Linked DNA regions of Lonchura striata. The protein of the gene in region 4 purifies or fractionates together with the protein of the main gene of each other region. This does not show direct contact. Links are inferred from orthologs where the notes say so. Each region holds a gene or a part of one and is shown on either strand. Other genes may lie near its edges. The genes, in order: DNAJB1, CEP170, HSF2 and BAG2.

What was found.
Region 1: the proteins of BAG2 (region 4) and DNAJB1 purify together in Homo sapiens (affinity purification with mass spectrometry; 4 studies listed by BioGRID and IntAct, with this or other methods). This does not show direct contact. The link is inferred for Lonchura striata from reciprocal best matches to the Homo sapiens genes BAG2 and DNAJB1.
Region 2: the proteins of BAG2 (region 4) and CEP170 purify together in Homo sapiens (affinity purification with mass spectrometry; 3 studies listed by BioGRID and IntAct, with this or other methods). This does not show direct contact. The link is inferred for Lonchura striata from reciprocal best matches to the Homo sapiens genes BAG2 and CEP170.
Region 3: the proteins of BAG2 (region 4) and HSF2 purify together in Homo sapiens (affinity purification with mass spectrometry; 4 studies listed by BioGRID and IntAct, with this or other methods). This does not show direct contact. The link is inferred for Lonchura striata from reciprocal best matches to the Homo sapiens genes BAG2 and HSF2.

Annotation. Positions count from the first base shown.
Region 1 is NC_134623.1:2,238,474-2,245,620, forward strand, and holds the start of DNAJB1 (dnaJ homolog subfamily B member 1), read right to left. Parts: upstream 3,019-7,147; 5' UTR 2,923-3,018; coding exon 2,712-2,922; intron 737-2,711; coding exon 177-736; intron 1-176. Other genes in the region: TECR (very-long-chain enoyl-CoA reductase), read left to right, coding at 6,738-6,978. UniProt on the Homo sapiens protein: Interacts with HSP70 and can stimulate its ATPase activity. Stimulates the association between HSC70 and HIP. Negatively regulates heat shock-induced HSF1 transcriptional activity during the attenuation and recovery phase period of the heat shock response.
Region 2 is NC_134605.1:31,172,628-31,180,557, reverse strand, and holds the start of CEP170 (centrosomal protein of 170 kDa), read left to right. Parts: upstream 1-4,914; 5' UTR 4,915-5,109; intron 5,110-5,754; coding exon of another isoform or gene 5,755-5,782; exon of another isoform or gene 5,783-6,071; intron 6,072-7,930. Other genes in the region: SDCCAG8 (serologically defined colon cancer antigen 8), read right to left, coding at 4,277-4,343.
Region 3 is NC_134605.1:63,803,468-63,810,907, forward strand, and holds the start of HSF2 (heat shock factor protein 2), read right to left. Parts: upstream 3,010-7,440; 5' UTR 2,941-3,009; coding exon 2,770-2,940; intron 1-2,769. UniProt on the Homo sapiens protein: DNA-binding protein that specifically binds heat shock promoter elements (HSE) and activates transcription. In higher eukaryotes, HSF is unable to bind to the HSE unless the cells are heat shocked.
Region 4 is NC_134605.1:89,198,151-89,205,341, forward strand, and holds the start of BAG2 (BAG family molecular chaperone regulator 2), read right to left. Parts: upstream 3,008-7,191; 5' UTR 2,915-3,007; coding exon 2,751-2,914; intron 1-2,750. UniProt on the Homo sapiens protein: Co-chaperone for HSP70 and HSC70 chaperone proteins. Acts as a nucleotide-exchange factor (NEF) promoting the release of ADP from the HSP70 and HSC70 proteins thereby triggering client/substrate protein release.

The DNA.
Region 1 (7,147 bases), on a different chromosome or scaffold from region 4:
CCCCCCACCCATCCTGATGTCCCCAACCCATCCTGACGTCCCCAACCCATCCCTGATGTCCCCAAGACGATCCATCTGTGATGTCCCCATGATGCCCACCCATCCTGATGTCCCCAAGCCCACCCACCCTGACCTCTCACCACCCCCATCCCACCACCACCACCACCACCACCGACCTGCCTCAGGCTGATCTTGGCCGGGTAGACGATGTCGGAGCCGTCGCGGCGGAAGACGTCGTGCGGCTTGTCCTTCAGCACGAACACCACGTCGGCCGGGATGTTGGTGGCCGTCTGGTCGCCCTCTTTGGGGAAGGTGATCTTGGTGCCCTCCTTCCACCCTCGCTTCACCTCGATGGTCAAGATCTTGTCCTCGTTCCTCACCGTCTTCCCGTCGGGGCCCAGGCGCTTGTGGGAGATCTTCATCTTCTTGGTGCAACCGCTGTAGATCTCCTCCAAGGAGACGCGCAGCTCGTAGAGCACCGGCGGGTCCTGCCGGCGACCCTCGGCGCCCCGGGCCCGCGGGAAGCTGACGCTGCCGAAGCCGCCCAGGTGGAAGGTGCTGAAGGCCTCGTCTCCATCCTCGTCGTCGCCGTTGCGTTGCGCGAAGAAGGTGTCGAAGGGGTTGCGCCCGTCGAAGAACTCGGCGAACATGGCGTGCGGGTCGCCGCGGAAGGTGTAGGTGAACGTCGGACCGGTGCCGCCACCCGGTCCGGGGGTCGGGGCTCCCCCTTTCAGCCCTGAAGGTTTTTGGGGGGTGATGGGTTGGAGGGTGGTGAGGGATGGATGAAGGCACCCCAGGCACCCATCAGACCCCACCCCGGGGTGAGCCGCGGGCAGGGCGTGGAGCGGACGAGGGCGTGGGGGAACCGGTTCTGCCCGCGCCGCCGACGCCGCTGACGGGTCCCGGACGGGCTCCGACAGGCCCGGCCGGCTCGGCTCCCCCCGGCACGCCCCGGCGCCCCGGCGGCCACCCCCGGGCGGCTGGCCCGGCGCCGGGGCCGCCACGCGGGACACCGAGCCCGGAGACCCCGGGGACACCGAGCCCGGAGACCCCGGGGACACCGAGCCCGGAGACCCCGGGGACACCGAGCCCGGAGACCCCGGGGGATACCGAGCCCGGAGACCCCAGGGGATACCGAGCCCGGAGACCCCCACGGGATACACCGAGCCTGGAGACCCCGGGGACACCGAGCCCGGAGACCCCGGGGACACCGAGCCCCGGAGCTCCCCCCGTGGGACACCGAGCCCGGAGTCCCCCGTGGGACACCGAGCCCGGAGACCCCGGGGACACCAAGCCTGGAGACCCCGGGGGATACCGAGCCCGGAGACCCCGGGGGATACCGAGCCCAGAGACCCCCGGGGGATACTGAGCCCGAAGCCCCCCCCACGGGATACACCGAGCCCGGAGACCCCCGGGGGATCCACCGAGCCCGGAGACCCCCGTGGGATACACCGATCCCGGAGCCCCCCCCACGGGATACACCGAGCCCGGAGACCCCGGGGGATACCGAGCCCGGAGATCCCGGGGACACCAAGCCCGGAGCCCCCCGTGGGACACCGAGCCCGGAGACCCCGGGGGATACCGAGCCCGGAGATCCCGGGGACACCAAGCCCGGAGCCCCCCGTGGGACACCGAGCCCGGATACCCCCGTGGGATACACCGAGCCAGGAGCCCCCCGTGGGACACCGAGCCCGGAGCCCCCCCCGTGGGATACACCGAGCCCGGAGACCCCGGGGACACCGAGCCCGGAGACCCCGGGGACACCGAGCCCGGAGACCCCGGGGACACCGAGCCCGGAGACCCCCGTGGGACACCGAGCCCGGAGACCCCGGGGACACCGAGCCCAGAGACCCCGGGGACACCGAGCCCGGAGACCCCGGGGACACCGAGCCCGGAGACCCCGGGGGATACTGAGCCCGGAGACCCCGGGGGATACCGGCCCCGGAGACCTCGGGGACACCGAGCCCCGAGCCCCCCGTAGGATACACCGAGCCCGGAGACCCCGGGGGATACCGGCCCCGGAGACCCCCGTGGGATACCGGCCCCGGAGCCCCCCGCCCGCCCGGTGCGTGTCACACCTGCCCTGGCCATGCCCGCGCCCCCCGACCCACGGGCCCGGCCCTGGCACCTGGCCCTGGCACCTGTCCCCTCACCTGTCCCCTCACCTGTCCCCTCACCTGTCCCCCTCACCTGTCCCCCTCACCTGTCCCCCTTACCTGTCCTTGTCACCTGTCCTTGTCACCTGTCCCCCTCACCTGTCCCCATCACCTGTCCCTTTCCGATCCCCCAAATCCCCTCCCATGTCCCCCAGCCCCCCGACCCGAACCCCCGCCGACCCTCTGACCCCCCAAATTCCCTCCCGTGCCCGGACCCCCCGACCCCCTGACCCCCCAAATCCCCTCCGGTGTCCCCCAACCCCCTGGCCGGGACCTCCCCCGACCCTCCGACCCCCCAAATCCCTTCCCGTGCCCGGACCCCCCGACCCCCTGACCCCCCAAATCCCCTCCGGTGTCCCCCAACCCCCCGGTCCGGACCCCCCCCGACCCTCCGACCCCCCAAATCCCCTCCGGTGTCCCCCAGCCCCCCGGCCCGGACCTCCCCAGACCCCCCAAATCCCCTCCGGTCCCGGACCCCCCGAGCCCCGCTCCCCTCCCCGCCCCTGCCGTGCCCCCCGTCCCGGCCGCCCCCGTCCCGCCGGTGCCGCCGCTCACCCTCCTCCCCGTACTTGTCGAAGATCTCCCGTTTTTTGGGGTCGCTGAGCACGTCGTAGGCCTCGGCCACCTCCTTGAAGCGCTGCTCGGCGCCGGGCGAGCGGTCCTTGTCGGGGTGGCAGCGCAGCGCCTGCCGCCGGTAGGCGCGGCGGATGTCGGCGGCGGAGGCGCCCCGGGACAGCCCCAGCGTGCGGTAATAATCCTTGCCCATGGCCGGCCCCGCTGCTCTGGCACCGGGCACGGCGAGAGACTCCGCGGGACGGGCACGGCGAGGGAGCCCCGAGGGGCGGGGGGGCGGGGAGGGACCGGGAGGGAACGGGGAGGGATGGGGGAGGGATGGGGAGGGACCGGGAGGGACCAGGTGGGACCGGGGAGGGATGGGGAGGGACGGGGAGGGACCAGGTGGGACCGGGGAGGGATGGGGGAGGGATGGGGAGGGAACGGGAGGGACCGGGAGGGATGGGGAGGGACGGGGAGGGACCAGGTGGGAACGGGAGGGATGGGGGAGGGATGGGGAGGGACCGGGAGGGATGGGGGAGGGATGGGGAGGGACCGGGAGGGACCAGGTGGGACCGGGGAGGGACCGGGAGGGACGGGGAGGGAACGGGAGGGATGGGGAGGGATGGGGAGGGATGGGGGAGGGATGGGGAGGGAACGGGAGGGATGGGGGAGGGATGGGGAGGGATGGGGACGGACGGGGAGGGACCGGGAGGGACGGGGAGGGAACGGGGAGGGATGGAAATGGAGCGGGGAGGGACCAGGAGGGACGGGGAGGGATGGGGAGGGACCGGGGAGGGATGGGGAGGGACGGGGAGGGACCAGGTGGGACCGGGGAGGGACGGGGAGGGACCAGGTGGGACCGGGGAGGAACAGGGAGGGAACGGGAGGGACGGGGATGGATGGGGAGGGACCGGGGGTAGACCGGGGAGAGACCGAGGAATGGATGGGGATGGGGTTGGGACCGGGAATGGACCGAGGGATGGAGCGGGAATGGAACGGGAATGGACCGAGGGATGGAGCGGGAATGGAACGGGAATGGACCGAGGGATGGAGCGGGAATGGAACGGGAATGGACCGAGGGATGGAGTGCGAGAGAGCTGGACCGGGAATAGACCGGGAATGGACCGGGGAGGGAGCGGGGAGGGACCAGGGAAGGACCGAGGGATGGAGAGTCCGAGGGCTGGACCGGGGAGGGACCGCGAATGGACCGGGGAGAGACCGGGGAAGGACCGAGGGATGGAGAGACCGAGGGCTGGACCAGGAATGGACCGGGGAAGGACCGAGGGATGGAGCAGGAGAGGGCTGGACCGGGAATGGACCGGGGAAGGACCGAGGGATGGAGGAGAACAGAGCTGGACCGGGAATGGACCGGGAATGGAAGTGAACCGGAGGAAGGACCGGGGATGGGTCGAGGAGGGGCTGGACCGGAGACGGGACCGGGGAAGGAGCGGGGGGGACGAGGAGGGGTCGGGAAAGGGGCGGGAGAGGGAGCGGGGAGAGATCGGCGGAGGAACCGGGAGAGGGAACGGGGCGGGAGCCGGGGAGGGACCGGCGGAGGTGCCGGGAGGGACCGGGACGGGAACGGGACGGGAACGGGAACGGGGATGGGAACGGGGAGGATATGAGGACATGGGGACATTGGGGACATTGGGGACATTGGGGACACTGGGGACAGGGACACGGGCACACGGGGACACAGGGAGGGACAGGTCCCTCCACGCCGTTGTCCCCGTGGCCCCGCGGTCACCGTGTCCCAGAGTGTCCCCATGGTGTCCCCACGGTGTCCCCACGGTGTCCCCACGGTGTCCCCACGGTGTCCCCGCGTGTCCTCGGGACCCCCCAGCCTGCCACGACCACCCCAGCTCCCCCAGCCCCCCTGTGACCCTTCGGACCCCTGGAACCCCCCAGACCCCTCAGATCCCCCAAAACCCGCAGCCCCCCCAGTTCCCTCGGACCCCCCAGTCCCTGAGACCCCCCCAGTTCCTGAGACCCCCCCAGACCACCCCAAACCTCTCGGACCCCCCCAAGCCCCGCAGCCCCCCAGTCCCTGTGAACCCCCAGTCCCCATGACCCCCCCAGTCCCTGAGACCCCCCCAGACCCCCCCAAACCTCTCGGACCCCCCCAAGCCCCGCAGCCCCCCAGTCCCTGTGAACCCCCAGTCCCCATGACCCCCCCAGAACCCCCATGGCCCCCCAGACCCTTCAGGCCTCCCAGCCCCCCCAAACCTCTCAGATCTCCCAGATCCCCCCAGTCCCTGTGACCCTTCCCCTCCCCATGGCCCCCCAGACCCCCCAAAACCTCTCGGACCCCGCCAAACCTCTCGGACCCCCCCAAACCCCGCAGCCCCCCAGTCCCTGAGACCCCCCCAGCCCCTCTGACCCCTCCATTCCCCATGGCCACCCTGACCCCCCATGACCCCCCAGACCCCCCATGACCCCCCAGACCCCTCAGACCCCTCTAGACCCGCCCCCATGCGCTGCTTGCCCCTCCCACTCCCCGCCCCTCCCGCGAGCCCATTGGCCGAGCAGGCCATCACTCCACCCTCAGCCCCACCCCCTCCGCGATCCCATTGGCTGCCGCGGCCGTCACTCCACGCCCCGCCCCCGCCTCCCATTGGCGGAGTCCCCCTCGGGCGTTCGCGTCGCCCCGGCAACCGCCGAGGCGGGAAGGGGCGAGCGCGCGGGCGGGGCCGCTGCCTCCTGATTGGCCGCGCCCAGCCACGCGAGCGCCGCCGATTGGCCGAGCCGCGGGCCCCGCCCCCCCGCCGGCGTGAGGGGCGGGTCACGTGGGGGCGGCGGGGGCGGCGGGAGCGGCGGAGCGCAGCGGCCATGAAGCACTACGAGGTGAGGCGGCCGCGCCGCCCGCGGCCCGGCCCGGACACCGCCACCGGAGCGGCCCCCAGCGCCGCCGCCGCCGGCCCCGCACGGCGGCAGCGCGGCGGCGCCGCGGAACCCGCGCGTTCCACCCCGGGGCGCCCGGGACGCGCTGCGCGCATGTGCGGTGGGCGTCGTGATGTGCGCATGCGCGGCGGGAGGGCGAGCTGGCTATGGGCGGGGCTATGGAGGGCGTGGCGTTTGTCAAGGGGGCGTGGCTATTAAGGGGGCGTGGCTTGGGCTCCCGGGACTCCCGGTGGTCCCGGAGGGTCCCGGAAGGTCCCGGAGGGTCCCGGAAGGTTCTGGAAGGTCCCGGAGGGTCCCGGGCAGGTGCAGAGCCCGGAGGGGCCGCGGTGACCCCGGGACGGGTCCCGCTGTCCCCCCTCACTGAGCGCCACCGGCGCTGCCACCGTCACCGCTCCGGTGGCTCCTCCAGGGCCACCCCGGGGTCACCTCCAGGGCCACCCCGGGGTCACCTCGGAGCCACCTCCAGGGCCGCCTTGGGGCCACCACGAGGCCACCTCCAGGGACACCCCGGGGCCACCTCCAGGGCCATCTCCAGGGCTACCCCAGGGCCACCTCCAAGGACACCTTGGGGCCACCTCCAGGGCCACCCCATGGCCACCTCCAGGGCCACCTCAGGGCCACCTCGGGACCACCACGGGGCCACCTCCAGGGCCACCTCCAGGGCCACCACGGGGCCACCTCCAGGGCCACCCCGGGGCCACCACGGGGCCACTTCCAGGGCCACCCTGGGACCACCACGGGGCCTGCCCGGGGCCACCTCCAGGGCCACCACAGGGCCAGCCCGGGACCACCTCCGGGGCCACCTCGGAGCCACCTCGTGGCCATTTCCAGGGCCACCTCAGAGCCAATTCCAGGGCCAGCCCGGGGCCACCTCCAGGGCCACCTCCAGGACCACCCCGGGGCCACCTCCAGGGCCACCTCGGGGCCACCACGGGGCCACCTCCAGGGCCACCCCGGGACCACCACGGGGCCTGCCCGGGGCCACCTCCAGGGCCACCACAGGGCCAGCCCGGGGCCACCTCGGAGCCACCTCGTGGCCATTTCCAGGGCCACCTCAGAGCCAATTCCAGGGCCAGCCCGGGGCCACCTCCAGGGCCACCTCGGAGCCAATTCCAGGGCCACCTCATGGCCACCTCGGGGCCACCTCGGGCCACCTTGGGGCCACCAAGGGGGGGCGGGTTATATTTAGCGCTGGCGGGGCCGCTCGGGTTTCGGTGGCATGGAGGTGGCGGTGGCACCCGAGGGTGGCCCGGCGCTGTGGCCGGCGGTGGCCCCCGGCAAGCGGCCCAAGAAATCGGCCGTGCTCTTCTTCGAGGTGGAGATCCTGGACGCCCGCAGCCGGGAGAAGCTCTGCTTCCTCGACAAGGTGAGGGGACAGCGGGGGACAGGGGGACATGGGGGGATATTGGGGACATGGGGGGACAGGAGGACATGGGGACATCGGGGATATTGGGGACATGGGGGGACAGGGGGACATGGGGACATGGGGGGATATTGGGGACATGGGGGGACATTGGGACAGGAGGGGACATGGG
Region 2 (7,930 bases), about 58 Mb from region 4:
AGCTGACAATATAATTTAATTTGGACTGATGTGGATTGAAACTTCAAAAAAAAAACTTTACTATTAAGCCCTTTGGTTTTCAGTGTTTAAAGGATCTGAGATAATTATGAAAAAATGACAAGCTAGCACCCAAATTTGATGGATCAAACTCAATAAATTAAAAAAAAAAAAATCAGTGTAAAAACAATTTGCCATTGAAGTCAAAACAGGAAAAAAACCCAGAAGGCGCTGAACTTGTTTAGCATTGCCCAAACAAGAGATGTTTTCTCAGGCACTGCACAGCACTCTTTCTAAAGAGTACTCCTTTAAATGAAAGCACCAAAGCTACCTCATTCATGGACTTGGAAATGCCATAGAAAATACTCTGGGAGCAAAAGAATCAATCATCCAAAACAACAGAATTGCCTGAAAGACATGGAAAATAACTCCAGCTGCTAGAATCATTAAGCAGCATACACTGAAGAAAACAAACGGCAATTCCATGAAAAAGTTATCATAAGTCTGTCACCCAAACCTAACAGTCCAGTTCTAATAATGTCTACAAGAACATGAAATTACTGGCTATAAATTCAACAAACAAGCATCACTTGCTGATATCTCATGGTTCCCAATCAGCAAACAGCCTTAGAAAATTAGAGAAGGAATCACACTGATTCTTTATGTCTTAAAAAAACGCAAAGCAAACCACTGTAAAATTTTTGTGAAACAGTAACTGACAAAACAGATAGACACACTAGTGAAAGCAAAAAGATCATAGCCATTTTAAAAAAAATTCATGTCCAAAATGAGATCAACTTTCTTCCATTGACAGCTAAAAATCTAAAATATTATACCATATATCTTTCAGTCAAGTAACTGCTGAAAAATACTGAAACTGAGAATTTGGTTATAGGGTTTTTTGTGTTTAGAACATCTTGGAACTTACTTTACTTCCCATTCTGACATCCAGCTTTTCATTCCATTCTTTATTGGCTGCCAAACGCAGGTATGCTACCAGGAAAGTAGCACATTATATGGGAGTTTTGAGACTAAAAATATCCTGTCTATCACTACCTGTACTGCTAGGATTTTACATGCAGCAATGAGCAAGACCAGCCTGTTCATCAGTCAGGCCTCAAAAGATCCCGATATGTGAAATGCACAGCTGTTCCAAAGTAATAAATCCTTCTGATTTGGTTTCTTGTGTCACCCTGATTCTTAAGATTTTCTAAAGCCTTCTGAGTTTACATTCTGTTAGAAAACTTTCCCACACATTTTCTATAAACAACATATTGTTTTGCATTCCTTCGTGGGAGTGGAGGAAGTTGATGTACTGGTGGTTTGTTCAATGTCTTTGGAGAGGTGGCCCATTCACTCTCCAATCCACTGTCACCTTTGGAAAAGTATAAAAGTTGGAGTCAGAAAAATAAACCCTCTTCTTTTTTACCTTGTCATCGTAGTGGCTCGTGTTGTGCTTTCTTGTGTCCTATAGCGACATTCTTGGTCTCTTTTTATATGAGAAATAGGTAGTTTTCAGCATAACTTTTACCAAGCTATTATATTTAAAAGCACTGTTACAGCAGTCATTGTTACAAGTTCCTACACCAGCCCTTTCTGCAGAGCATAAAGCATTTGCCTAAGTTCTAGAAACCCTCATATACGAAAACCTCATTGCCAAGTTCCTTGTGGCAGATTCTCCACCTTTAAAAGAACATTTTATGTTCGGAAGAATACCTAGAAACACCTGCCAAACAAAAATAAAAGCCTAAGCAAAAAATCATTAAGAATGTATTTCTAAGCTGCTTCAGTATGACAGCTAATTTGTAGTGATAGAAACTGGGCCACATAAGATGGCTTTGACTTCCCATCTCTCCTGTTTTATTTTTGGAATAACAAAGAACAGCCACAAAATGAAACTTTATTCCAAAAAGTCTTATCTTGTCATCTGTTTCTCTTAGGGTTGGTATCTCCATTCTCTGAAATTATGTAGTAGGACACTGCACTCAGCAATGCAGTGGAATACAGAATGTAATTTTCACAATACCCTAAGACAGACTTGAGATAGACAAGTGTATCAGGCTCAGTACCTAAAAAGGATTGCTTGCCCCACCTTTGTTCCTGCACTTATAATGGCTCAGGTCCAACAGTGAGTGAGCGTTCTTCACTCAAGAGGCAGAAAACTCAACATAAAAGTATAAGCTAATAGTTCTCTGTTCAAGAAAGAACTGGACTCTAAACAGCCTTCACAATTTACTGCTGTTAGGAGAAAAGGGGAAAGTCACAGGAAGGCATCATGCTCTTTTCTTGGCAGTGGTATAGTAGAAGGGCCATTGGACATTTACACTATACCTGTCAATTTTCAGTTATTAACACGAATACAGCAACACACCACTTATTATCATTTAGAAAATACTTCTACTCCCTTGAGAAGACTTTTTATTAGAAATATAATCTCCTAAAGTTTTTAAGGTTCATTTGAAATGGTCTCAATTATATGAAAGTTTATGCAGTAACCTAATAACCCCAACTGTACAAATACCACCCTCTTGAGTTAGAGTTACACATAGCATTAAAGACTTTCATTATACAAGGTCAGGAAAAACTACATTATAGAACCTTTGTTATTTATCAAAGCCTATCTTTTAAGCTCTAAGACCAGGTAGGTCTTAATCAGGATTTTTTGGTCCAGCTTTCTGCCCTCTGGCAATCAGACTCAGTTTACTGAACACTCAGGCTCCCCATCTTCTGAGGGATTTCCCTTTGCAACAAAGGACATTGCCCTGAAATAATCAGCTGCTCTTTGAGAACTTAAGCACCCTTCCATCAAACTGAGTAAGGCAGTAAAGTGATTCTTCTGGTATCCTGCATGGGTGGTGAAAAGCCGTTGCTATGAGCTCGGCCTGCATCCAGATAATGTCAAGCATTACATTATTTCAAAAGCATCAAATAATGCCCAAAGCATGCCACGTAAAATTGCAGAACCTGGATGACAGGGTCATCCCAATGGGGACAAAAATCTCAAGTTGTATAACTATATAAGAGAAATAGGTAAAGCATTAGATTTGACAGCTTTGAGAGTAACGATGATGTTTATCCTACAGTGAATTCCTAACACTGCTAGTAATGATGTGGAAAATGCTGTACAGCTTAAAGGAGTTAAAATTGCACATCACTGAGAAATAAAGAGGTTCTTTGAGAAACACCACAAAACTTGAGTTATATCGCCCTGTATTGGGGCTGTTTGTGCATCACCATATCGATTTCTACATGAGAGGCACCCCGAGATGCATGAGATCAAAACTACCTTGGCATTGTATGGAAAGAAAATTCTTGTGTCCAAGAATGTAAAGGGGAAAGGCTCACCAGAAATTCAGGTTATGAATTTATTTAACACATATAATGGATCCAGTGTAAGGAGATCCAGTCAGAAAAAAAAATGAAAATAAGTTGTATGAAGAGAATACATGCATCCAATGTATCCATTAGATACAGTCAGCTCTAATAGGCTCACACACAGTTAAACAACCCTGATATTAGTCATTCTAACTGTTCTGCGATAACTGTTAACTGCAAGTGTCAAGTAGCATTACCATGTCCATTTCATCTACAGGAGAAGTAGATAGAAATTATTCCTTAAAGTTCTATCTTGTGGAACAGAAGAGATCTATCGCTAATATAAGGAACTGATGCTCCTTTGAGATGGAAGTAAAAAAAGATTTGCTGAGAATCAAGTAGCTATTTGAAAATGTTTCTATTGTTTCTTTCTTCTTTTTTGCAATGTTGTTTTTTATGGCACAGGAAACATCCCAACATGCCATATTGGGGTACTGTGCTCAGAACACAACTTTTCACACCAGTAGGTTCACATACCCACAAACTATCCACTGGCTTTCTTCAGAATTTGGACATTTGCCTTTGCCCAGTCAGTGACAGTGTGAAGGCTGGTAAGCCTAGGTGTCACGGCTGACAGATTCAGGTGCTCTCTGTCAGGCTATACACCACGCTTCTTGGACAAAGTGTCAGGTATGAAAACACTCAATGATATGGGAAACAACCACTCTCATTAGAGTCCATTTGTACACTCATCTTTACCACGAAAACCGCACCCGAAGCAGCAGCGGTCCTGCCCGAGGAGCGTTACGGTGACACGAGCGCGTGTCACAGCGCCTGTGATCGGGGGTGGGGACAACCAGCCCAACTTCCCCGCTGCGCGCTCGTCCCAGCCCGGCCCGGGCGCTCCTCGGTCCCGGGCGGCGGCTGGGGCAGCCCGGCCTCGCCCCGCGCCCGTGCCGCTCACCTCGGAGGCGCCTCTGGTATCGCTCCAGGGACTCCTCCAGGGCGCGCTCCCCGCGGGGCGCCCGCATCAGGACGCCGCTGGCTGCCGGGCAGCAGCCGGCGCTGTCTCCCAGCACCGGGGGCTCCCCGCGGGGAGGCTGCGGGACAGTAGTTCCACCCGTTCTACCTTCCCACGTTGAGCTCTCGGAGGAGACATCTGCGGGGGTCCCTCCGGCTCCTGGTGGCCAACCGTTGCCGTCGGCCGCCGCAGCTGAAACTAGCAACGCCAGGAATCCGTCGCGCTTCCCGATGGCGGGAATGCCTCCGCCAGGACTACAAGTCCCGGCATGCACCGCGCCGCCGGCGGCAGAGTTCCCGCCCACCGCCCACCACCGGCAACCGGGAAAGGGTGGTCGCCGCGAGCCGTATCCCCTTTGTTGTGGATCGCGGTCGCAGTCGCGCCTGCGCACAGCACAGCCCGCCCGCCTACGCCCTCAGGCCTGCAGCGAGCTCAGCACCGGTCCCGGCACGGCAGGGGCGGATCGGGGCGGGAAGCGCCGTTTACCTCCCGCCATCGCCCGCGCGGGGAGCGCCCGCAGCTCGGGGAACGCTATTGTCTGCGGGCCGCGCAGGCGCAGCGCGGCCCCGCCGGCCGCTCGGCCCCGGCGCGTGCGCAGTGCGGCGCGGTGCCGCGCCGCTGTGCCGTTAGCCGCCGCTATGTGCAGGGAATAACGCCGGGGCCGTTGCCAGAGGGACACCGAGCGCTCCGCCCTCGCTTCGCATCCCGCGGGATGCCGGCTCGCTGAGCACCCGCTAGCGACGGCCCCTCCCCGGCGCGCGAGCCTCCTCGGAGGGGTGAGTGAGGATGATGCTGCCGCCGCCGCCCTGCGGGTCGGGCGGGAGCCGCGGCGGGGAGAGGGGCTACGGTCGCGCCGCGGTCCGTCCGGTGCCTATTGTGTCAGGAGGTACCGCCCGCCGGGACCCGGGCGGGCTGCGGCCGGCGGAGGGGGAGGTAACACGGTCTGTGCGCAGCTCGCTCCCCCTCCCCTGTCCCCGCCCGGCCCGCAGGTTACTCCGCGCCCCCGCCTCCCTTTCCCCTCGTCAGCGCGGGGGGATCGCCGGTGGCGGGGGGTCATCGCCTCGGGCGGGACGCGGACGGCATCCCACGTCTGGCATTTGGTGCTGCTGGATCCCGCTGCCCGCGTCTCCCTGCCCCTTTCCGCCCGCGGGGCGCCTCGGCACACCCACCCACCCAGCCCCGGGGCTGCGCAGCCCCCCCTCCCGCGGGTGGATTTCCGCGATTCCAGCGGAGACGTTTCCAGAGGTTTAATTTTTTTTGGGGGGTGACCTTCTTTCGCTCCCTCCCCGGGGCTGGAGGCAGCGTGTTTCTCCGGATTTAAAAATCAGTGACGTCCTTCGTCTGGGATGCGGCGTTTCCCTTCGTCTCCTTGAAATAATGTCTTCTGTGAAAGGATGATGGAGAAAAACTGTGGGTTTCACCTTTTCTCATATTGCGTATTTCCACCATACGAGTCGGGTCCCCTGCTTCCGAAAATATCCTCCCGAAGGCGTGAGCTTTTCCTTTTTCGAGGCGCTTCCCGGGAAAAACATGAAATCGAGGTTTTTGTCCCAGTGGCGAGGAGCAGCCCGGGCCCACTTTGTGTGCCCGCCGTGGAGACGAACGGGTTACTGCGCTAACAAAAACCCGATGGCGATTTTCGAGCAGAAAGCGGCGTCGCAGCGGAGGAAGCGGGCGGGAGGGGCGGGGACGCTCCGCGGGCAGCGGGGCCGTCCGCGCCGGGAGCCGGGCGGGCACGGCGAGCGCTGCTCCCGGCGCGGGCGGCCGCGTTCTGAGCGCTTTTTCAGCATAAGCCGACAATTAGCCCACCAATGCTCGCGGCTTGGTGGGAAAAAAAGAGACGTAGATGGTATGCTGATGAGTTGTGTGTACATAAGGATTGCTTTATTGTGACAAGGGATTAGATAGCATCCGCTGATCTGCACTTGGAGGAAATTATTTTCTTCCCTGTGAAAGCAAAGGTACTCATAAAATATTTAAGTACTTTGAAAGAATAAAGCCTGCTCTGGCGCTGCAATGATCATCTTTTCTCCTTTGGAATGCCATTCAAGGCTTTGTGACAGCGTTCTTGGCCCTGGGCTTGTGTCTGCAAAATGATATGTGGGATGGGACAGTTTTTGTAAACTGAACGGAGACGACTGCATATGCTGTGATTTCCTATGATTAATTTCCTCTGGGAATTACTTTATGTCCAGATGCTGAGAAGTCTGTCTTGCTGAACTCTACTGATATGGAAGCTCCTCAACTTTAAATTTGATTTAACGGGGAAAAAGTTAAACAGAAACACTGCAAAGAATCTCCCTTCACTCTTAGATTATCATTTTTTTTAAACACTTTTTCACCTTCATGTAAGTGTTCTGTTTTTGTTGGCTTTTTTTTTCCTTTGTCTGGTGGAGGTTAGGAAGGCTGGCTGAATAGAGATAGTAGTGCAGCTCGGATACAAAGAATTTGTCAAAATCTCAAGAATCTTGAAGTTACTTGAAATGGATCAGATTAAAATGCTTTCTTTAATTCTTTTGAAGACAAACCATCTGATTTATAAGTTGTTACTGTTATAAATGAGAATTTATTCAGCCAGATTAAAAATAAAAATAATTTTATAAGTGGTCGAATTCTATCTAGCCAGCCACAGAAAAAGACAGTGCTGAGCCCAGGGTTGGCCCTGGGTGTGCAACAAGGAGTCAGCCTCAGCAGAGGTTTTTCCCTATGCCCACACACCTCCATCCTGGCACAAGCGGTTTTTATAGGGAAAATTCTGCCTGAGGCCAAGATTTCAGCAATCAGTCTTTTCTTCTATTCAGAGTCCATAGGTTAATAAGATTTTACTTTTTTGGTGATGAGGAGGAGTAATTCAGTGTCCAGAGTAGGTGAATCCCTGATAAGATTTACGGGAAGGCTGTATTCACATGTATCTGTCTGAGGATTTCCATGATATCCATCTCGGGTCGCTTATGCGATGATCAGTACCCGATGATCAACACCTGGAGTCCCGATGGTCAGCACCTGGAGTCCAGACATGGCCCATCTCCTGGCGAGCCACGTCCTTTTACTTGTAAATCAGTTTCCAATATACACCCAGTCTCGCCTGCAAAGGGGGGGGGGGACGGGACAGGGGGACTAATACAAACAGGCATAATCTAACAAGTATCCAATATTACATATTTCATACAAGGAATGGTGCGAATTATATTTACTACACATAACATTACCAAACTTTGGCATGACAGTGCATTGTTTGGGGAGTGGTTTTGACATATGGCTATTTCCCATATCTAGTCTAACTCTTGAAAAAAAAAAAAAAAGGTTATTTCTATATTGACTTTCATCTGCTGTAATGGACTTGACAAGCAAAATTTCTTAAAAATTCTGTTGATAACATACAAGCCAGAAAAGCTCCAGCTTATGAAAATGAACTGGAAAAGTCTATGTTCGGTTGTAGTTGTTCCTCAAATGCCTGGAATGAAACCCAAGGCATGAGTAGTTGCAAAAATTGATTTTGCTGTACAGTTTCCAGTTCTTGGCATTGCAGGGAGAAGGTATACCATAGTATCTTCTTGATTCTCTTAACAGGGCAGTTTCCATGTTAGCACTGCTTTT
Region 3 (7,440 bases), about 25 Mb from region 4:
AAAGCAAGATTCCCCTTCTGGAATGCCAATTGTGAGGGAAGACTGATATTTTATTTAATCTACAGGCTTTAACTAAAATAGAAGGATGAGCTCTTTGTTCTTCAATGACTGCACTCCATTTAACTACAGGGCAACTAACTGGCAGAATGCAAATTATCTACTTAAAAATGGTTTAGGTTTTGTCTACACATCTGCAATACTCTCACCCTGTAGTTAATAAAAAGTCTTATCTTCAATAAATGTCAACACTTTTCCTGCATCTTTTTAAAAAGTCTTTTAATTTTAATGAGTCACTTCTCTTATCCTCAAATGGCAGCAGCTCTCTGATCCTAAGAAGCTTAAAGAACCATATGAAGGTTCTTGCCCAAAGGTGGGTGTCCTTGTTTCAGATAGGATAGAATTATTTTTTTTTTCTTGGTAGCTGGTAGAGTGCTAAGTTTTGGATTCAGTGCTAGAATAATGTTAATAATAAGTTGATGTTTTAGTTGTTGCTGAGCAGTGCTTACCCTAAGTCCAGGTCTTCTCAGCCTCCCAAGCACTGCCAGCAAACAGGTGCACAAGAAGTTGGGAAGGTGCATGGCCAGGACAGCTGACCCAAACTGGGCAAAGGGATATTCCACACCAGAGAACATCATGCCCAATATATAAACTGGGGGAGTTATCCAGCAGGAAGGCCAACTGCTGGTTTTGGATGGGCTGGGTACAGGCCTGCAGGTGGTAACCAACTGAACTGGGCATTTGTTTTTCTTGTGTTTCAGTTCTGTTTTATTACTGTTATCATATACTTCACTTCATTTCAGTTCTAAATGGTTATCTCAACCCACAAGTTTTACTTTCTCTACCAGGGTGTGGGGGAGTGAGCAAGTGGCCGAGATGTACTTCAACTCAGTTGCCAGCGGGGGTTAAACCACAACAGCTTGCTCCAGCAAGTCAGCAGGGAGCATCAGAAACAGGATGTTACAAATGACTCTCCACTGGATGACTTAAGCCTTAACACTGAGATGAAGGTAGGGAGATTAAAACTTCCAGTAATGCCTACCTATCTCCTGCTGAGAATCAATCAGTGGAAGAAAAAGAAGAAGCAAAAGAACAGCAAGAACAAACTATTTTAGCCAAAGTGAAATTCACAAAGTGAAGGTGTTGAACTAGGTGACACTAGAGTGACCTGGGACACCAACAGACAACTCCTCACTTTATCATCACTTTGACATTGTCCAGGCCTAGCACATAAGAATCTGGGAAACACATCCACGAGCTCCTGTTGCCCTGACAGTCATTTACAGGAAAGCCGTACAGATGCTAAGCCTGTAAACTCCACTACACAGCTAAATATGATTGTCAGCTCCTAGTGCCCATGGCTACAGCATGCAGCAGTCTTCCAAGTGCTTCACTTGGTACTCCTCACCCATATCACAAGTAATCCCAATACCTACCCCTACAAGAGCTGCTGGTTGCTAATAATATCAACTGTGATAGCTGGACCTTCCCCCCTAGAAACAGCCTTGCAGAATCTCAAACAATTTACTGTTTCAATTAAAAAAAACTAACACAAGGATACCTAACAGGTATCTGTATGTTTACCTGAGATAAACATAAGCAATGGATTTGGGAATTCTCCATTAAAACCATAGGGCAGCAAAAACAGCATTTTTAAATGTAGACAATACCAATTTTCATAGAGCCTTTAGTATCTCTCTTCCAAAAAAACCCCAAAAAACAAACAAACAAAAAAAGCAGAGAAAAAAGAAGCCAAATAAATTCCAAAAACACCACAAAAAAATTCCACCCTAAAACAAAACAAAACGAAAAAAAAGAAAGAAAAGCTGCCGTAATCTACTGAAGCCTCCTGCTTCCCTCTTTGGGAAGTTTTGGCTGAAGGTACAGGTAAATAATTTTCAGTAACATACTTACGACATTTCATTATTTCTAGAGCATTTAAAATAAGGAGCATTCAGCTGAGTTTAACTCAATGGTACTTAAAGAAATTGATACGATTTGAGAACAAGATTTTATTGAAAGCAGCACGTAAGGAAAAAATGAAGCAGCAATTATCAAAATATGTGCTTAGGTTTTAGCACAACCGTCAAGGATGCTCACTGTAGCAACTTGCCAGTCCTTCCTTGCACTGTAAGAAGACTGGTGCCCAATTCGAATACTCGACTTCCCCCGTGGCCCATCCCCTTCCCGCCACCCCAGCAGGTGGACACCCAGCCCGGGAAGCCCCGGCCGTCTCCCACGTGGCCGCCCCCCACTGCCCCTGCGGGATCCGGGCCCGCGGGAGCACGCAGCAAACGCCACCAGGCCTGAGCACGCCGCTCTTCCCACCTGGCGCAGCTCTCCCGGAGCCCCGTTCCTGGCGCACCCACCACCCCGCGATGGGAAATCTTCCCCGCACGCCAAAACCCTCCGGCTGCCGGGCCCCTTCCCACCCCCATGGCCGCCCGAGCCTGCTCAGTCAGAGCCGCCACACAAACACCCCCACCCTCCGCAGGGGTGCTGGGACGCGCCCCAGGGCGGGCACGGCAGCTCCTACTCCACGCTTAAAACAAGGGAGAGGCTGAGGGCTGGAGCGAGCCGGCCTCTGCCGAGCAGCTCAGCACAGCTCAGCGCGGCCCGAGCCAAGCCAGCCATGTGGCCGTGCCCTGATGCTGCGTCCTCCGCAGGCGCACGCCGAGGTCCCCGCAGGCCCCGATGGCGCCGGTGATGGCGGGGGCTCCGGGGCTGCGCCACACGCGGGCGGGGGGGAGGGCGGGGGGGAGAGCGGCCGACCTGGCTCCAGGTGATGAGCTGGTTGCTGGGGGTCTCGCCCAGCAGAGCCCACAGCTTGCTGAGGAAGGCCGGGACCCCCGGGCTGGCGAAGGGAGGCGACGGCTGCAGGGGAGGCTGCGGGGCCGGCGCCGGTTGCGGCGGCAGCAGCGGCTGCTGCTGTTGCTGCTTCATTGTCGCTCGGGAGCCGCCGGGGCCTCTGTCCGGGAGGGAGCGCAACCAGACCGGCCTGGCCCCGCCCCTCACCCCCCACCCCGCATGCGCGGCGGCCCCGCAGCGCGCGCGCGTGCCGGCCCCGCCCCTCCCCCCCGCGCCTTACATAACGTCCCCACGTGCGCCGCCCTCACGTGTCACAACAGCGCCGGCACGGGGGGGGACGGAGCCAATAGGGGCGCGCCTGGCGGCGGGGGCGGGGCCGCGTCGCGCGGGCGCACGTTCCCCGCGGGGCAGCGGCGCGTGGCGGGCGCGGCTGAGGGAGCGCTCCGCTCCCGCTCCTTTCCCGTGTCCCAGGGAAAGAAAGGCGGGCGAGTGCCCGGGACGGGCCTTCTGAGGCCGTGTCCCAGCCTAGCGTTTCCGAGCCGTCCGGGAGAGCGCTGAATAATAGCTAGCCAGCTCAAAAACATGAGTACGCAGGGCGTATGCACAACAGGAGCACCCAAGCCAGCTCCCCCCAAAAGCATCTCAGGCAGGCCCTAAGCAGACCCCTTTGCAAGGCAACTGGTGTTTAGAATTCAGACTTACCAGCTACTGAAACTGAAAAATGAAACTGAGTATCTCAAGGAAAACAGCCTAGTGAATGGTGAAATGCACTTTTTTTTTTTTGTTTTTGTTTTTAATCCTCTCACAAGTATTTTGCAAAACTTAATCACATATTACTTTTTAAGAATTTGTTCTATGGAACTAAAATTACTATTTTCACAACAAACCTCCATTGACGAGTAGTGTTGCTAATATTTGTTGAAATGTCTCAAGTCTCAAAGAATCGCAGTGAGTTTAATCTGCTGCAATTTACAGTGAAAACGAATCACAATGGCACAGGGAAGATAACAGAACCTTTAGCCCGTGTAGCCGACAGGAAAATTAAGTTCAATATTTGTTTCAAGCTGTATATCACACAAGGTCCCTTTTGTCACATCATTAGTAGCTTACCGGAGCCTATAACAAACCCTTTGAGTGACATTCACTGGATCATTCCTGAAAGAAGTCACGGTTGCTAAGTTCATGGCTCAGCTTTTCAGGGTCAATATTTGGAATTAAAAAACTCATATAAATGCCTTTTGAATTTAAACACAAATTTACAGTAATTTTCCAAGTAATTTTTCATCCTGACGTTCATGTGCAGCAAGCTTTTACTGGATTCCATTAATCTACATAGAAATGCTAGAAAAGCAGAGAGAAGAATATGATTGTGACTTAATCTGGACTCAGTATTGCTCTGCATCTTATATTTCTTGTTTACAACTTCAATTTGAAAATAGAAGTTGATTTGCAGAATTGTTGGACAGTGTTTCAAAAGGCAAACCCCTATATTTATGTCTTTGGCTGAGACAGAAGTGGAACCATGTACTTATTTTTTTCATTTCCTTAGTAGACATCACCATGGTGAAAAAGACTGCTCTGTAAGTTGATTTCCAATGTCTTACAGTTGAGGCAAATCTTTAAAGCTTTCTTTTTAAAGCTCAGTTTAGGAAAAAGGTTTTCTTCTGAAGCCTTAAGCTTAAGAATTGGAAGTTATTTATTAATACTTAACATAAAGTGTTAGCAATGTACAACTCAAATAAGGCTTCTATTAGGTTTTTATTTCATTGTCTTACAAGGTCTGAGCACAAGGTAATTGCTTGTCCCTGTTGATAAAGCTTTTGATTACATTGTTTTACAATCCAGTCATTGCAAAACTCATCTGGGGCTATTTGACTTCCCAGTATCTTCATAAGCAGTGCTGTAATCTTTTTCCACACTGCAGTAAAATTTTCCTCCACTTAGCTTGCAGAAATCTGGTAATTATCAGCTCTGAGACAGGTCAAGCTATTTAAATCTTCCATGATGCAGTTCTCACCCTCCCCTCTCCAGAAAAACATAACACTTTAAAACTCTTAATGTATTGTGAAATGTTGGGAATTCAGATCTCTTCCCATATCCCTGAACTAACCCCTCAAGCCCCACTAGATTCTGTTCCTCCTGAGCCTCATTCTCCCTCCCTTGGGCCCATAGTTCCCTCAAATGTCAGAGTTCCAACTAAGACCTTGTTGCTTGGGAACTAAGGGAGCACTGCCAACAGGAAACATCTGATTTCCAATGTTTTTTTTTTCTACAGCTTTCACGGAGAGGCTACATAGTTAGCGGCACCTCAAATCTGGGCAGGAGGCCAAAGAATAAAGTTAGATAGCTGTTCATATCACTGTTTGTTTTGACATCCCATATGCCTAAAAATTGCATCCGTCACTGGTCTTATGCTCGAGCAGCAGGCAGCCCCATAGCACTCCCATACTCTTATAGGAGCTTTGGCCACTGATAGTCTGGTTTTGATGTGCTTTAAGAATAATAATTTGGGATGGGGACCCTGTTCCACAGTACATTTACAAGTAGGGGTCATAAAGCAGCCCCCATGTAACAATATTTTTCTGATATGAAATTAACCTATCTTCTTTGCCTTCCTATTTTCTTCCCCTACAATGGGATATGCAGAAGGGGACAGCAGCCCTGCTTGTGCTGTTGGTCTGGCTTTTTAAGTCTGAAGTGCATTTAACTCTGAACTGTGAACTCCAGTTGCAACAGACCCTGAGTTAAGCCTGAGTCAACTCCCCAAGGGATAGCAGTCTGCAGATTTTCCTTAAGACAAAGAGCATGATGCAAAACAAGAGCCTGAAAATGACAGGAGAGACAAAGGCAGGGTGACAGATTTCAAGGCAATACCTTCCTCTTTTTGCAACCACAATTTGTCCTGCCTGAAAGGCCAGCATATGAAGGTTATCTTTATTGATTCATCTGTATCGATCCATATGAAAGCAAGAGACAAATCAGACACTGAACTTGCACAAATGTTACCCCTGGAACAAGCACAGGCAGCCAGCCACAAGTAGGCCATCCTGGATCAAGCACTGCAGAGCACCTCATAGCCAAATTTGATGCAAGACTTCCAAGCCTTCCACCTTTAAAAAATTATTATACCATTTAAATAACTGAAAGTGTTCCTGGAAGTCCCAGCTCTGCACATACTAGGATCTCCTTGAATCAAAGGTGGCCCTAAGAGGCCTAGCTTTAAATCAATTCTCTTTGAACCAAGGATAGTATGAGATATCTGTATTTATGATGAAAACAGCTAGAGTAGGCAAGGTAGATGACATTTCAGAGAGCTTCTATAGAGATTAATATTCTGGTTTAGGGCAAATTTAGAAGGAAACCTCCAAATGGGGTCTGTCCAGAAAGCAAACCCAAGCAGCCCCTCCCCGATGTGGTTCGGGAAAAGATTTCCTTGGAGAAAAGTGGAAAAAACTATTTATTTAACAAACAAAGTATGAACAAGCATAATAAATAAATAACATTAAACAATAAAACCTCTTGTTGTTCTGAAGAGATGGCAAATTCAGAAAGTACTTGTGGGCTCACTTTGCTCAGTTTCTCATCAGTCCCTCCTGCACTGGAAAATGCTGCGTCCCAGGTCCTGATGGGCAACTCTTGTGAACTACTGGTGCTCTTCTGGGTTTTCAGTCCAGAGCAGGACTGATCAGTTCCAAGAAAAAGAAAAAAACATAATCCAGGAAACTTCAGTGCCTCAGCTAGCTAAAAAAAAAAAACTAAATAAAAAGTAAAGGAGAGCTTTCTCCCGCTGCAGACAACACAGTCCAGGAGAGAAAAACACTGAAGGTGTGTTTTGAAAACAACCACCTCAGACATTCCACTGCTCTTCATTCTTCCCCCACTTCACTCTCAGATCTAGTTTTAAAAGTGCAATACTTATTTCTGGGTTAAACAGACAAATGGGGATACAATTCAGCATCGTAAAGTCACCCAAGGACAATTAATCTTCCAAAGTAATATCCATTCAGTTAGTGTTATGCCATCCTTGTGCATCTGATTCAAGTACCACACAGTGTTTTAGATGGCTGAGTGATTCATTTGCCTTCTTATTCTCTACAGGAAGAAGAGATGGCACAGGCAGCACACCAGATATTTAATAGACAGTGATAAAACAAAGGCTGGCATCAAGTTTTAAAATTAAGTTTTGGTAAGTTTTGTTCCCCTCAGTATATTTAAAATTAAGCTATGATAACTGAAACCAACTACTATTCATGATCAGTATTTTTTCTTTCTTGAAAGGAAAATTCAGACCTACATTCATATTGACTATAAACCCTCCAAGACAGCTTGCTTTGCAAATGGCACAGAAGTGGTATCCATTTCTTGTTTGCTTATGTGTGAGGAATACTTGAAACAGACCTTCCCAATTAGACAAGATCTTCCATACACCTTGAAAATGCTCAGTGTTTCTTAAAAGACTGCTTTCTTGTAATATGAGGAAAAGTTACAGACTTGGAAAAGTTATATTTTAAACTATATAATTTAATATATATATATATATATATTTTAAACTCAACTAAACAAAGCTATAGCATTGTTTAGTTGAGCTAGCATTCAAGATAAACTTAGTGCCTTTAAAAAAATCCAGATTTAAAA
Region 4 (7,191 bases):
GTTTGTGAGCAATTATCTGAGCAATGCCTTTTTTTGCTACATACCATTTACATGAGCAGAGCATTCCCCTGAGAAACAGGTGGACCAGGCTGTGCTTTTGTTTCCAGATGAGAAACTTGACACCTGCTTTCTTAGGACAGCTGCAATAACTGTGTCCTTTAAACTAATGACTGACTTAAACAGCCCACTATTAAAACCCACGTGCTGGAGGTCCAGATAAGCTTTCAAAGGAAATAAGAAACATCCGAGAATGGAGCAGCTTTTTTTCCTGAAATAGAGCTAATCAGGCACACTGGAAGAAGACAAAACAGGGGGTTTCATCCTGGCATCCTCAGCTTCTTCAGCTGAGTGTCCACTCCCAGGTAAGCCGTCCTGTGAACACTGAAATGAATGGTGGCGGAACAGGGTTGATCCAAACAACAAGACAAGAAGTACAAAAAATGAAGATAAAAAATACCCAGTAAGAATCTTACTTACCTCGTGTATCATCACACCTAAAACTGTGTTTTCACTTTACACAACCAACAGAACGCAGTGACTCATAAACAGAGCTTCTGGTCTGGCTTCCAGCTGCTCCTGAGATATCTTGGCAGTCACAGCCACACGAAGGTCCAAGCCCTTACAAGGGGCAAACGTGCCACCTGCCCGGCTCACCACCTCTGCCTCGGGCACTCCCTCCCAAATTAACTCCCCTTCCCTGCTCACTTTCCATACAGAAGAAATGCACTCAGCAAACACCTATCAGGGAGGTACAAAAATACCCCATTACTGTTGGAAAATGAGCTCTCACAGTGGAAAGAAAGGGAGGAAAAGGAAGGCTGTTCAAACTGGAGCAGTTTACAATGCCTTTAAACTGAAGGAAGGTAGACTTAGATTAGGTATTAGGAAGAAATTCTTCACTATGAGGATGGTGAGACACTGGAACAGGTTTCCCAGAGAGGTTGTGGACACTTGGAGGTGTTGAAAGCCAGGCCGGATGTGGCTTTGAGCCACCTGGTCTACTGAAAGGTGCCCCTGCCCATGTCAGGAGGTTGGAACTAGGGGACCTTTAAGGTCCCTCCTAACCCAAACCATTCTGTGATCCTGTGACTTCCAGAGGGATGAGGCTTGCTTCAGAGTTCAGCTGACCTTAAGCAACTTGAGAACTGAGGATTGTTGAGGGTTTTAATTAAAGGCTGTAGTTCAGTTTGACAAATTTTCACTGGTTGTATTAACAAGCAACATCTTGAGGGTCTATAGCAAAACCAAACAAGCTGGAAAAGGAGAAAGTTTGGAAGTTTTTCCTCCTGTCATTCAAATAAATTTGAAATGAAGCATGTTGATTAGTTGTGAATAGGAAAAAACTGTAAGACTTGAGTGACTTTTATCAAATTAGACTTTTTTTTTTTTCTCATTACTATTCCACATTTAGAATTATGGCTGTCTGAAAGAACCACAGCAAACTGGGAAGTTTAATTGAGGGTTTAATTGCTGGCTAACCAAACTGTCTGCTTTGTTTCAGAGTCACTCAGCAAATCTAAAACACATTTTTGCATATTCTCATGCTAATTTTTTGATTATATATTCATCATACGCCTAGACCTGGATGTAAGCAGTGAGACTTGTTTGCAGACAGTGATTTTGTTTAGTCAAATTCAGAGAAGTCTGCAAAGGACTTCAAGGAGATTTAATCAAGCTAAGTGAAAGGCTAATATAACAGCACATCGAGTCCACTCCTGAATAATGCAAAGTAATGCAGGCAGAAAGGGGAAATAAAACTCCTGCATCCCACAGAGCTCTTTTAATTACAGGAAAGTCCTAGAAACATTCTGGGTGGCTCTATGAAAGCTGCTGATCAATATGCAGCTGTAATGAAGGAAAGGGTGTGTTGAAACAGTACCAGAGGAGGTGAATCAGTGGCATTCTGCACATCCATCCACCTCAGAAAGGACACTATGTAATTTAGCAGAGCTGAGAGGACAGGGAAGATGATTAAAGGCAAGGTATCATCTCTCATGAAGCCAAACTGGGAAAAAAGTAAAATGGTATTATTTAGGGAACGTCAAGTAGCAGAAAAAGTTAGGACGTGTCTTGGCACAATTATGAAATTCACATAGTATTTACAATAACTTTGGAAAAACACGCCTCAGCTGCAGAATGCAATGCTGTTCACATTTTATAGTGACACTTTTTAATACACCTCAGAGAGGAGGCAGACACAAACACTACAAGAACATCCACAGCTGAACCAGTAAGTGCGAAGGGAGGTTTGGAAGACAAGAAGCCTCACACGCCAGCATACAGCACTGCAGCTTAAAGGCTTGCCAAAGTCTCCGAGAGCCTGAATGACACCATGTTTTATCCTCGGATTTCCTGCATCTCCCTATAAAACACCTGCCCGCAGGTGCGGGACAGGGGGACAGGGTGGGACGGCAGTCAGGATGCAGCGCGGGCTCGTCCCCGCCGTGTCACAGCTCCAGAGCGCAGCCCCGTCTAAAGGCTCCCCGCGCCCTGAAGGGTTAACAAATCCCAAACAGCCCTTCGCGCTTTCTCTGAAAAACGTCCACTTTCATACATTCTTATAGCTATTCCTATTTTCGTGTATTGCCAGGCCACGCTAACTCACCTTTGAGCAGTAGCTCCCATTTTTAAACTTTGTCCCCCATGAAGGAGAGCCTTTTCCCCCGGGTCCCCTCCAGAAGCCTCGCACCGCCCCCCAGCCGGGGGAGGGCCAGCGGCTCCCGGCCCCCCAGCGCCCGGCCGGGCCCCACCTGAGCTCCAGCTGGTCCAGGTTCTCGAGCAGGCGGCTGGAGCGGTCGGCCATGGAGGTGGAGCGGTAGAAGCGGCCCCGGAGCTGCCCGCCCGACTGCTGCTGCGGCTGCGGCTGCTGCGGCGCCCCCTCGCTGGCCTTGGCGCTGATCCGGGCCTGGGCCATCCCACCCGCCGCTGCCGCCGGCGGAGCCTCGCCGCGGCCGCTCCCTCCCCGCGTCCCGCAGGCGGCGGCGGCGGCCGAATGCCGGCACCTCGCTCATGGCCAAAGAAGGAGCCGCCCCGCCGCCGGCCCCGCGGCCACCCCGCCCCCGCGCCGGGCCCGCGGGCAGCGCCTCACGCAGCGCGGCGGGGCCGCCCCGCCCCGCCCCGCCCCGCCCCGGGGCAGCGGAACCGCCGGGCGGGCCGGGCTGGAGGGACCGCGCTGGGTCAGCCGGGCCGGCCCCTGCCCCCTCTCGAGCGAGGGACACTCCACAACCTCTCTGGGCAATCTGTGCTGCTCGATCGCCTCGACAGTAAACAAGTTGTTCCTATTCAGGTGGAACTTCCCTTCCCGTGCATCAGTTTCTGCCCACGTCTCTTGTCCTATCACTTGGCACCACGGAGAAGAGGCTGCTCCGTCTTCTTGACACCCGTCCTTTGGGTACGCAGTCACATTGATGAGGGCCCCTCTCAGTCACCCCTTCTCGAGGCTGAACAGACCCAGCTCCCTCGGGCATTCCTGGCACGAGAGATTCTCCAGCCCCCTGGCTGGGTTCGCTGCCCCAGGAGCTCCCTGTCTCCCGCCTCTGCCCCCTCGCACACAGCCACGGGGCCGGCGGGGCCGCGCCCGGGGCTGAGGCCGCGCAGCCGAGCGTGCCCGGCAGTGCCCGGCAGTGCCCGGCACCGCAGGGTCACCGCAGGGTCACCGCAGTGTCACCGCAGGGTCACCGCAGTGTCACCGCAGGGTTACTGCGGTGTCACCGCAGGGTCACCGCACGGTCACCGCAGTATCACCGCAGGGTTACTGCAGTGTCACCGCAGTGTCACCGCACCTGCCGCGCAGCGCTCCGGCCCCTGGCCGACACACGGCAGCCTCTGCTGCCCTGCTCCTCGCTGGCACCGCCTGGGGCACAGGCCTGGGCTGTCCTGCTCCAGTCTCCACTCCCCTTTGTGGCAAAAGCAACAAAACCTGGACCAGCCGGGAAGGGAGGAAAAGTGATGCTTTCGATATCTGTATTAGCTTTGTGAGGGAGATGGGAGCTATTGGTATGAGGCTTTGTGTTCCAGAACTGGTCTGTGTGGCTGGTTCATTGGTTTGCTCTTTCATTAAAGAAAACAAGAAACCCACAACTACCCAAAGGTTATTTTTATTTAAGGCTAATTAAACAGTAAACTACAAAACTGAAAACAGTGGAAAGTGCAAAAAAAGGGAGGAGGAAAAATAAAGGGCTTTAAAAATCCAGAAGCTTGACATGAGAGAGAAGTCAAACCAGAGACAGCCCTTAGTGCAAGCAGAACCTAAACAAAATTCCTAAAAAAAAAACAACAACAACAAAAAAAAAAAGGTATTTTGGATACTGCTATACTGCTACTTATAGTGCATCTTTCTCCTGCCAACTGCAAGAGCCCCCTACTACTTGCAGAAAAGCAGCTGTTTCACCAGCTGTTATTGTAAGATTCTACAAAAAAAAGCTTACTGGAAATAAAAGTGGTTTGTATTCTCTTTCTATGCCAGAGAGAAAAGATATATCTATTTAATGGTAGCCAAGGTAGTTGATCTACATCTAGTAATGACTTGTCCCAGGAACGTATTTAATTTGCCTGTATGAAACGGTTCCTTCTTTCTCACAAGCACCAGCAATTCAAGTCACACATAAGTTTTAGTTACCACTACTGTGAGTATTTAAAAAGGAATTTGCTTATCCCAAAAGACGAGGTTTGGGCAAATACCCCATGGCTCTAACAGACCAATTCTTGGCACCCAGCTAAGGGGGATTTTGTTGCACAGGGACACTGTTTTGTATGCTTATCCTGCTGTGATTCAAAATAGCTGTTTTCTCAGGCTCATCCATTCAGAATGATATCATGTCCTGAGTACTCTCGTTAAATTAATTGCCTGAGTTTTCTTTGTTTTACATGGTTGGATAAGCAAGGCTCGTTGCCTGTGAGCTCATGGAAATAGCTTCATTTGAACAATTGTTCCATCCATCTCTCTACAGTCTCTATAGAAGATAATTAAAAACCATTTCCCACCCCAAACAGAACCCATTTGTAGCCATGACACATAGTTTGCTACCATTTATTTCCTAGGATCCTTCTATTCATCCCATGCCAATTTATTAAGCTTCAATTAGATTGGGTTTAAAAAGCAGAAATCAAAGTAGCTGAGCAGCTCTGAACACTTTTTTCCTCCACACGTAAGTAGGGGTTTAATTCCACACAGGTAGAAGTCACAACAGCTGAATCAGAGGCGCAGAACAGCTCTAAGTGTCCAAATGTATCACACGTTACTTACCCTCTTTAACAACAAAAGGACATTACACAAGAAGGAGGAATAGCAAAACTTTGGAAACAAAATGCAAATTTAAAAGTAAAAATAGTCTTCCAGGACAAGTCTTGAAATTACTGCCTGTAAAAACTGGGATATTTTCCCTTTCAGAGGCTTGGAAGGACCTTGAAAACAGCTTTTCCTGCTCTCTAGAGTAAGTTGCCCCCACCCCCTCTATTTTTGCTGAGGTATGTAAAGGGACAATTGGCATCAATTTTCCAAAATAATAACTGGTTGGTCTAGAAAGATTGGAGTGCATCCCTGCAGGAAGGAATGTGATTCACAGCTGAGTTGGAGGAATTTTAAGGACAAAAGGTAGGATTTAATTCTCCTCCTTGCCATCACTGGTGAAGCATGTTCAGGGCTGCTGGTGAAGCCATGCTACATCCCTGTCTCCTCCCATGTCTGCACATCTGTGGTCATGTGAAGGACTGCACAGACCTGCTCTCACTATGGGCACCAGCAAAAACATAAGAAGAGAGTGGGTATCCCATTGTTCCTGCATTCCCATCACAACAGTGAAAACATTGGCTGTCTCTTGTTTAAACTACAGCATTGTAAAGAATGGGTGCTGATTACAAAATAGAGCAATGAACAGAAGTCTCATTCACATGCACAAAGTCCCTTGAGACAGCAGAAAGAGCAACTTTTCCAGGTCTCAGACATCTGATGTAAAAGTCCCAGAGCGAGGGAGATGACCTACACCAAAAGCACTGCAAACTGTAACACTACTAAACAGCACCTTAGTTCCAGCTTTGCCTTATTTCAAATCCTGGTATATGCCTTGTCACATACCCTAATACTTACACATGAGCTGTCATGGAAGAGGATCAAAGAGAAAGTCCACACCCAAGAAATGCCATGCAGGATTATTTTCCTGTCTTCATCTACAGGAATTTAGTATTTTCAAGCTGAAAGAGGGGAAGTTTACGTTAGATACTAGGATGAAATTCTCTTCTGTGAGGGTGGCGAGGCACGGGAACAGGTTGTCCAGAGAAGCTGTGGATGCTTCATTCCTGAAAGTGTTCAAGGCCAGGATGAAAGAGGCTCTGACCAAACTGGTCTACTGGGAGGTGTCCCTCTCCACAGCAGGCTGGAACTAGATGATTTTAAGGTTTCTTCCAACCCAAACAATTTGGTGGTTAAGAACCTTCCTTGTGAGCAGGTATTCTGCTGGAAGCAGCAGTTCCCAGACATGGCTGAAGGATGCATCCATGGCTCAGGCCAGCCAACCAAAACCAGCCTGCAGCCTCTCCGGCACTGCAACAATAGCAATAAAGATGGGCCAACCTGACTTTTCAGGCTGTTTTCCATCAAAACACATCTGCTATCACAGTAGGCTGCCCCCTCACTTCACACCTGCTGAACCTGTGCTGCTGTGTCTCTACTGCTGCTCTTACCAATGCTATTAAAACTAGCCTGGGTTTGCCTCTACATGCTGCAGTTTTTACTGTGTAGGCAAGCCCTGAGGTCCCAGGCTGGTTAGAAGTCTGAATTAAGTCCTCTGTCTCAGGGGCAATCTGAGAGCTGCTATGACCATTTTGGGGCATGCAGCAATTCATTCTCACTTGAGCAGTCGACGATTAAATGAGGCAGTGCATTCTGTACAGCTGCAGATGCTCAGTCTATTGACAGTGGAGCTCTGAGCTGAAAAGCAAAGGGAAGGGCCACCAGAAATTAGGATGTTGCAGCCAGTGAAAGCCAATTTGCAGATTTACAAAAGGAACTTTACATTAAATTTCTATGCATGCAGAGCTTTGCTGTTCAAGTACACACTTGGCATGTTCTTGCCATCTGCCATAAATTTTCTGACTTGTTTACATCCACTTTTAGAATTATCTCAGGCCATATTATTTGACCCAGATTGTTACTACTGAGCACCAAACCCCTTGAACTAAGAATTTCTACAGGAA